Linked DNA regions of Saccharomyces cerevisiae S288C. Changing the gene in region 1 together with any one later gene gives a genetic interaction. Each region holds a gene or a part of one and is shown on either strand. Other genes may lie near its edges.

Region 1 (4,506 bases):
TGAACTATAATAGCGTGTCATTATTTATTACGCGGAATTCTAATTAAATAGAAATATCTAACTTTTATTTTTTTTCATCCTATCTCATTTCTTGTTTCTCCCTGTCGTTGCTAAAATACGAGGATCTGCATATGTTTACATATCAACGTTCCCGTAAACGAATGGAGAATACTGAGTGTCACGTTAATAATACGGATATTATAATTTGGAAACCTAGTCAAGTAAAACCAGAAGAGATTTTTCTTTTCTCTTAAGCTTTTTTGGCTTGACCAAACGAAAAGTCCCTCACACCCAAACACTGAAAGTAATTCTTCGTATTTAAATAATTCAAAAGTTATGATGAGCAGGCTCTATGTAAAAAAATGGCCCATAATTTTCCCTAGAACGTTATAAAAACGCGACTAGTGAGGTATTGAGTATGGAGAGTATATTTGGTGGGTTTGGAGATCTAGTTGTTCCTAGGCCAAAGGAGCATCTCGGTCAAACAGACCTTTCCTTCGGTGGAAAATTATTGCCTGCATTGAAAATTTGTGAAGATGGCGGTGAAAGTGGTTGTGGCGGTAAAGTCTGGATCGCTGGCGAACTGTTGTGCGAGTACATACTCGAGAAATCAGTTGACCATCTGCTAAGTAAGACGGTCAATGGTACGAAACAATTTAAAAAAGTCTTAGAATTGGGTAGTGGTACAGGTTTAGTTGGATTGTGCGTGGGGTTGTTGGAAAAAAACACATTCCACGATGGCACTAAAGTATATGTTACGGACATTGACAAGTTGATACCACTATTGAAAAGAAATATAGAACTGGACGAAGTTCAGTATGAAGTTCTTGCGAGGGAACTTTGGTGGGGTGAGCCGCTGTCGGCAGATTTCTCACCTCAAGAAGGTGCTATGCAAGCAAATAACGTTGATCTAGTTTTGGCAGCTGATTGTGTGTATCTCGAGGAAGCTTTTCCATTACTAGAAAAAACACTACTTGATCTCACTCACTGCATAAACCCACCTGTAATCTTGATGGCTTACAAGAAGAGAAGAAAAGCTGATAAACATTTTTTCAACAAGATTAAAAGAAATTTTGACGTTCTTGAAATTACAGATTTTAGTAAATTTGAACATTATCTTAAGGAAAGAACCCACTTGTTTCAGCTTATCAGGAAGTAACCTGACACAGTGAATTTATCTCTTAATGATCCTGATCTTATTATATTTAGTAATGAACTTTTCGATAGACATTTGTAATTCATGAAAAAACGATATAACATTCATTTTTGTAGTGTGGTGTACGCATGGTGGGACTGCTCTTCTTGAGCGAAATTTTGATCTTCAATAGAGTGAGCAACGACAACTCAAGGATAAAGACAGAACAGCGGTAAACATCGTTTGCAAAATAACTAGAGAGCCGGATCGATTTACTTTGCAAAGTTGCGTCCTTTTTCCACGACAGAATATGTCTGCATTATTTAATTTTCGTTCTCTTCTGCAAGTGATATTGTTACTGATTTGTTCATGTTCTTATGTTCATGGGCAGTGGCCGTCTCTCCTAGATCGTTACAAAAATCATGAGGTTTTGGGGGCCTTCTGGAAAATGGCACGTGTTGGTGAAAGGGCCAGTCCATATGTTAGTTTAGCATGTATTTTGATGGCCATCAGTCAATTTAACAGCTGATTGGAAGATACTTAGTCATATGGATTTAAAGTTACGCAAATCAAGGTCATAGAAGGTGCAGTACCTTTTAAAACAAAGAGTATAAGTGGATTCAGACGAAGTGTCTCTTTAATTCTATCGTCTGATAGCGTACAAGTAAGGGTGCTATGAGCTAGCACGCACAGCAAAAATATAAACACTTTTGTATTTTTTTTTATTTTATAGTGTTTTGTGTTGAGTATTCATCTATTCGACCTCTATAGAGATTTAAGAAGGGAATTCATTGTCACAATAAGGACGCATAGTTGTTCATTTTAGACATCATTTACAGCACTTCCGTAAACTACCCCATATTGCGATTGAATACTACCGAAAAGGCTCAAGAATTTACGTGGTGCCCAATCAATTATATAGAATGAGGAACAATGGTAAGTAATGAATAATCATGGTCAGTAATAAAAAAGCAATCTCGTCCATGTTTCTTTTTGAAACTCAGAGCTTGACTCTGTTGCATTGGTATTTCATCATTTGATGAATTATTCACTATTCCATCTTCTTCTTACACAAGTTTACCAATAAATAACTCATCTGAGTTATTCAGACTTTTTATTAGATCAGTTCGGCATATTTAACTATGCAAAAGTTTTACACTGCTAAAAAGTAGTGTAAACAACAAACTGTTAAAAAAATAAAAAGGGGTGAATCCATGGACCAAGAATAGTAAGCTCCATTGGGTTACTCGATCCAGCACGGGAAAGAGCAATCGTCATAACTATGGTTTAGATTCCATACAAACGGAATCCAGTACCGAAGAAAACACCAGTACCCTGCAATAGAGGTACCAGGTCAAGAAGCAGAATACCCAAGGGCATCCTCCTTAATGAGTTGATTTAAACAATTTAAAATTTTTAAATCTCATTACGTTTTCCGCATACGAATTGGTGGGAGACTTTCAACCCAAAGCATATTACTGAGTAAAAAAAATTTTACTCCATTTTGTAAGCTTCGATTTGTGACGATTCTTTGGTCATGGATTGAAGAACTTTAAACGAGAAGAAATTAGAAAACAGGTGAAGACCACTATTTAGTTCTTTACCGCAACATAGGATAAACAAAGTTATTTTCTTACTCCTTTATATATTTGAAAAAATATAAAATCCACGGAAAAACATCGAAAATTCATTTTTCATGAAGGAAAATTAGGGTTCATACAGGAGTAGAGTTCATTGATGTGGTAGCAACCTTGTTAGCACTCATATTGTTCGAACAAAAAATGCCCTCTCAAACTTTAGTTGAAGAGCGATAAGGCATCTGAATCTCAAAAGTTAGACATGTCGGGGAGCTTCTGGACATCTACACAAAGGCATCATTGGCAATATACCAAGGCATCATTGGCTAAAGAGAGGCAGAAGTTATGGCTATTGGAGTGCCAGCTGTTTCCTCAAGGTTTGAATATTGTAATGGATTCGAAGCAAAACGGCATCGAACAATCCATCACAAAGAATATACCAATAACTCACCGAGACTTACACTATGATAAAGATTATAATCTAAGGATCTACTGCTATTTCCTGATAATGAAGCTTGGAAGGAGACTAAATATAAGACAGTATGCACTGGCTACAGCACATATTTATCTATCAAGGTTTTTAATAAAGGCTTCAGTTAGAGAAATAAACCTATATATGCTGGTTACTACGTGTGTATATTTAGCATGCAAAGTTGAAGAATGCCCGCAATATATCAGAACTTTGGTAAGTGAAGCCCGTACCTTATGGCCCGAATTTATTCCTCCTGACCCTACTAAAGTTACTGAGTTTGAGTTCTACTTACTAGAAGAATTGGAAAGTTACTTAATTGTCCACCACCCTTATCAATCCTTAAAGCAAATTGTTCAAGTCTTAAAGCAACCGCCATTTCAAATAACACTATCGTCAGATGATCTACAAAACTGTTGGTCCTTAATCAACGACAGTTATATAAATGATGTTCATTTGCTTTACCCTCCTCATATTATCGCTGTTGCATGTTTATTCATTACGATTTCCATTCATGGGAAACCAACCAAAGGATCATCGTTAGCATCTGCGGCTTCTGAAGCCATCAGAGATCCTAAAAATTCTAGTTCTCCTGTTCAAATAGCTTTTAATCGTTTTATGGCAGAATCTCTTGTAGATCTTGAGGAGGTTATGGATACGATTCAAGAGCAAATTACATTATACGATCATTGGGACAAGTACCACGAACAATGGATAAAGTTTCTGCTACATACTTTGTATCTTAGACCAGCATCTGCAATTTAATCATGCGAAGAATAAATTTAAAAACCGTTAAGCCTGTAAATTCAATCATTATGGTGGTGATGATCCGTTTTGGAAATGTTTCGTCCTTGACTACCTTTGTTTAACATGATATTGGAACGTCAAGACATATTGAGAATAGGTACCGTTATAATGCATAATTAAAAATTGCTTTGATATTGAGGTGGAAAGCTGGGTCGGACCTTGACATGTATTAAATTTAAAGAATCGAACCTAGTGTTTTTTTCTCCAGTGTTCAAAAAATCCTTTCAATTTGGTCTACTGCAGTAGCCCACTTATAACACACATTCAAGATGGGTGAACCGTGGCTCAAACTTCCCCATTTTTCAGAGTATGTGCAACCACAAAACCTTTGTCAGAAATTCTTATGGCAGGCCAAATTGATAAACTAACAGAAATATTAAACGCCCCCCAAGTTAAAATACTAGAACATGTTGGCTTATTTCAAAAACATTTTCTTCCTTTTCTAAAGTGTTTGATAATACTTTTGCATATATATAAGTGGACACGGACTAGTAAAATTGAACAGCATCATAGTCTTG
Region 2 (3,721 bases), on another chromosome or scaffold:
TAAAGAGATTTGATAATTTATTAAACAAAAATAATGACTTCGTCATATACCCTTTTTTGTTGGACTTGACTCCATTTTGGGCCAATGATTTTGACGGGGTTTTTCCTCCAGGTGTTAATGACGATGAACTACCAATAAGGGGACAAATACCACCTTTTAAGTATGAATTATATGGTGTAGCATGCCACTTTGGTACTTTGTATGGTGGTCATTATACAGCCTATGTGAAAAAGGGATTAAAGAAGGGATGGCTATATTTTGATGATACCAAATATAAACCTGTCAAAAACAAAGCCGATGCAATTAACTCTAATGCATACGTTTTGTTTTATCACCGCGTCTACGGTGTTTGATTCATTTGAATAAATAACTGAAAACCGTTGTCTATACACTTTTTTTCCCGTTCAACATGGCATATCATTATTTCCATCTAAGGTCAAAGTAAAAAACCCTAAATACAAATGATTTATTTTAACGGTAACAAACGAACTTTTTTTTAGAAGGTGTAAAGATGAGATCACGCCCAGATTTTGTCTTCCTCCTGTGCATCTCTTGGATTGATGATTTTCCTTTCTACCATAATACGTCATGAAAAGTATGTAAATATTTATAGCATTACATATATCTTTTATATGAAAAAAATCACTCATTCCCAGTCATCATCGTCGTCGTCGTCCTTGCTCTCATCCTTGTTGGCGAGGCCAACATGGTCACTAACATCTTTCAATCCCTCTTGAGACACAGCAACTTTCGTCTCCCCTTTAGATTTGTTGTCAGCTACTGCTTCTACTTTGTCATCATCTTCTTCTTCTTCTTCGTCATCCCACTCAACTTCTTTTTCCTCCGTTTCCTTTTCCTTTTTGGACAATATTTCTTTCCTTTTACTTTCTTTATCTAGAATTTTGTTTCTTTGTAAGAAATAGATGTGCCAGAAATCTTTATAGCTGATTTTATGGGGTACGATGTCGTTCATTAATTTGGAGATATCTTTGTCGCCCTGTAAAATAGAACATATCTCCTCAGTTTTTTCATCCACGTCAAACGGGTCCAGTTGCAAATCCATTTTATTGTCTAAATAAACCGATTTATCTTTAGATAATGTCCTTAGTTCGGCTTCTGTTCTATTTCCACCCACAGCAATTTCATTTTCTTTCGAATTCTCATCCTTGTCATTAGAGTCATTTTCTGCAGCATTATCGAAGCTACTGAAGCCAGACCAAAAATTCTTAGTTTTCATTTTGCTCCAATATGACTGGGCTAGACTTTCCACGCTGTGAATATTCTCGTCTAGTTTCTTCAAATACTTTTGTGCAGTCTCTGTAGTTTCATTGCTAATTGGCAAGTTAATTTCAATTCCGTCATCTTTCTCGATTACTAACTTTTTGAATGCACTTGTAGTCTTTTCATATCGTTTATTGACTTCCTCTTCTAACTTTTGGAAGGCCTCATTTGTTTTGTCATCTCGGCTCTGAAGTTCGTTATTTTCAGTGTTTTCTGTTGATCCAGTTTCCTTGGTATGAGAGTTGCTTATTTTATCATCTTCGATACAAGCTACTTGTTCTTCATAAAAGAATTCCATTTTATCCTAAAACGTCGAAGCAATGGAGCTCACTAGCTGTACCCTTATGTTGTGTTCTTTTTTTGTTGCATGACTTCTGCTAAGTGCTTTTTATCATTAATCACCGCTATTTGATGTAAGGCCAAAAAAAATGCGAAAGAAAAAAAGAGACTCTGTTAAGAAGGAAAGGAGTACCAATATAAACTATGGGTTCACAATTGCTATGAATACCCAGTTCACACATCTAGAATAAGCTATATGTATCAAAATGACACTAGTGACTCCGTTACAATTTTCGACTGTACAGCCAAATTTATATAGAGGATCTTACCCACGAGAAATCAATCTCCCATTCCTGAGAACCCTTAGATTGAAATACATATTATCTTTGACACCAGAACCTTTGAGCACTGATCCTCTAATGGTAAAGTTTTGTGAAGAAAATAACATTAAGACAATTCATATAAAATGTCAAAGTGAAAGAAAGGCAGACAAGACCAAACCCAAGATTAAAAGGAAAAAGAAAACAGTTCCTATTGAATACGATGTTGTAGTACGATGCGTTAAATTTCTGATTGATAAAGGGCATTACCCCTGTTATATGCACTGTACGAATGGTGAATTGATAATATCTCTCGTAGTAGCATGTATGAGAAAGTTTTCATATTGGAGTACGGTATCCATACTAAATGAGTTTTTGGTGTATAATTCCAGCATCAATATTCATGAAAGAAATTTCATTGAAAACTTTAACTCTGAAATCGAAGTTGACGATCTGGATATAAAGGATAAAGTTCCCTGGATTACCGTGCGATATATTGCAAGGACAGCCACAGAATCAAAAGATGAGTTGCGTGTTGATGATGCTAATGCGTCTGAAAAAGTTGCAAGAGTAAGTAGCGTGTCAAATTCTTTGCCAAAACTAAAATTTCATAGTATGTAAAATTCAGGGATAAATTCATATAATATTTTGTAAAGACAGAAGCTTCAGGGTTAAGTCTTAGCCGGGCCCTCCAGCATTGATAATCATTTTTTTCAATATCAAATGCCATTGAAAAGTCCAACGAAAATTACATCGACTTTACAAAAGAGACGAGCCGGTCACATTCTAGTATTGGCGAAGATTGGAAGCCATTTATCAACAGCAAGGAGGCATTCTGGAAAAATTGCAGCATATTTAAGAAAAGTGATAGGTTTATTTTTATACTAGAAGGACAGGAGCAACGCAAGCCATAATGCAGATAATAACCACTACGTTCATTCAAAAAGTAATTTTAGGATCACACCAATTACATGAGCAATTATCTATAGTGGAAGCCCGAATGATTGAATCTGCCATAGTTTCAATGCTCACAGAATCATTTTGCGAAAATGAGCAGACATTAAAATACTTAGCACGGCTACTTTCACCGATGTCTTATATGGATGTTATTAATGCAAGAAGGGGAAAGAAAATATGTGGGTACCCGCTATGCTATAAGAGTGCGGCAGAAAATTCATCTGATGGCTTCTTTATCCACTCAATGTATTGTAATAATTATCACAGTAAATGTTCGTTGTATTTAATGAGACAGTTATCACAAACGCCTCTGCATGAAAGGCGAGGCGTGCATTTAACTAGTTACATTAATCTAGAGTTTGATGATATGTACTCGGTAAGCCTTTTAGAAGAATTAGTTGGAAGTGAGGTACCTATAGATACCGTCAAATCGCTGATAACGAGTTTCAAGGATCTTGAGTTTGATGATACCTACAAGAATGAGCCTTTACCATTGGATGTGTACTTTGGACAGTTGACTACTGATGAGGAAACCTGTATAGAATAGGAAGTATAATTAAATCGTCTTCATCAGGATCCTTATCGCGGTCATACGAGTGACTATTTACATAGAAATGGAAGTAACCAGTAAATTTTCTATTAAACTTTCTGATTCACGCAACTTTTGCACTTAAAAACCGTATTTCGCCAAAACACTTGGCAAGTCCCTCCCTTCTATAAAGAGTGTCACATATGGTAATGTTTCTTTGCTCATTTTTCTGAATAGTGTCAACCGTTTGGCGTACATTTCTTTTGACTTTTTATCAAAATATGCTAGTTGGCCACCGTTCTTTAAAAGCTTTTCCTTATATTTGTTAAAGTACTCCACTCTTTGAAAACTTTTG

What was found. Genes that interact genetically often act in the same process or in processes that back each other up.
Region 2: mutations in SSN8 (region 1) and OCA6 together harm fitness more than expected from each alone (negative genetic interaction), as found in Saccharomyces cerevisiae (3 studies listed by BioGRID).

The regions. Positions count from the first base shown.
Region 1 is NC_001146.8:583,760-588,265, reverse strand, and holds SSN8 (cyclin-dependent protein serine/threonine kinase regulator SSN8), read left to right. Parts: upstream 1-2,974; coding exon 2,975-3,946; downstream 3,947-4,506. Other genes in the region: FAP1 (Fap1p), read left to right, coding at 1-3; EFM6 (putative protein-lysine N-methyltransferase), read left to right, coding at 419-1,159; KSH1 (Ksh1p), read left to right, coding at 1,446-1,664. UniProt on the Saccharomyces cerevisiae protein: Component of the SRB8-11 complex. The SRB8-11 complex is a regulatory module of the Mediator complex which is itself involved in regulation of basal and activated RNA polymerase II-dependent transcription.
Region 2 is NC_001136.10:581,571-585,291, reverse strand, and holds OCA6 (protein-tyrosine-phosphatase), read left to right. Parts: upstream 1-1,826; coding exon 1,827-2,501; downstream 2,502-3,721. Other genes in the region: ubiquitin-specific protease DOA4, read left to right, coding at 1-353; DOS2 (Dos2p), read right to left, coding at 647-1,579; RTR2 (putative protein-serine/threonine phosphatase), read left to right, coding at 2,794-3,384; RRG1 (Rrg1p), read right to left, coding at 3,508-3,721.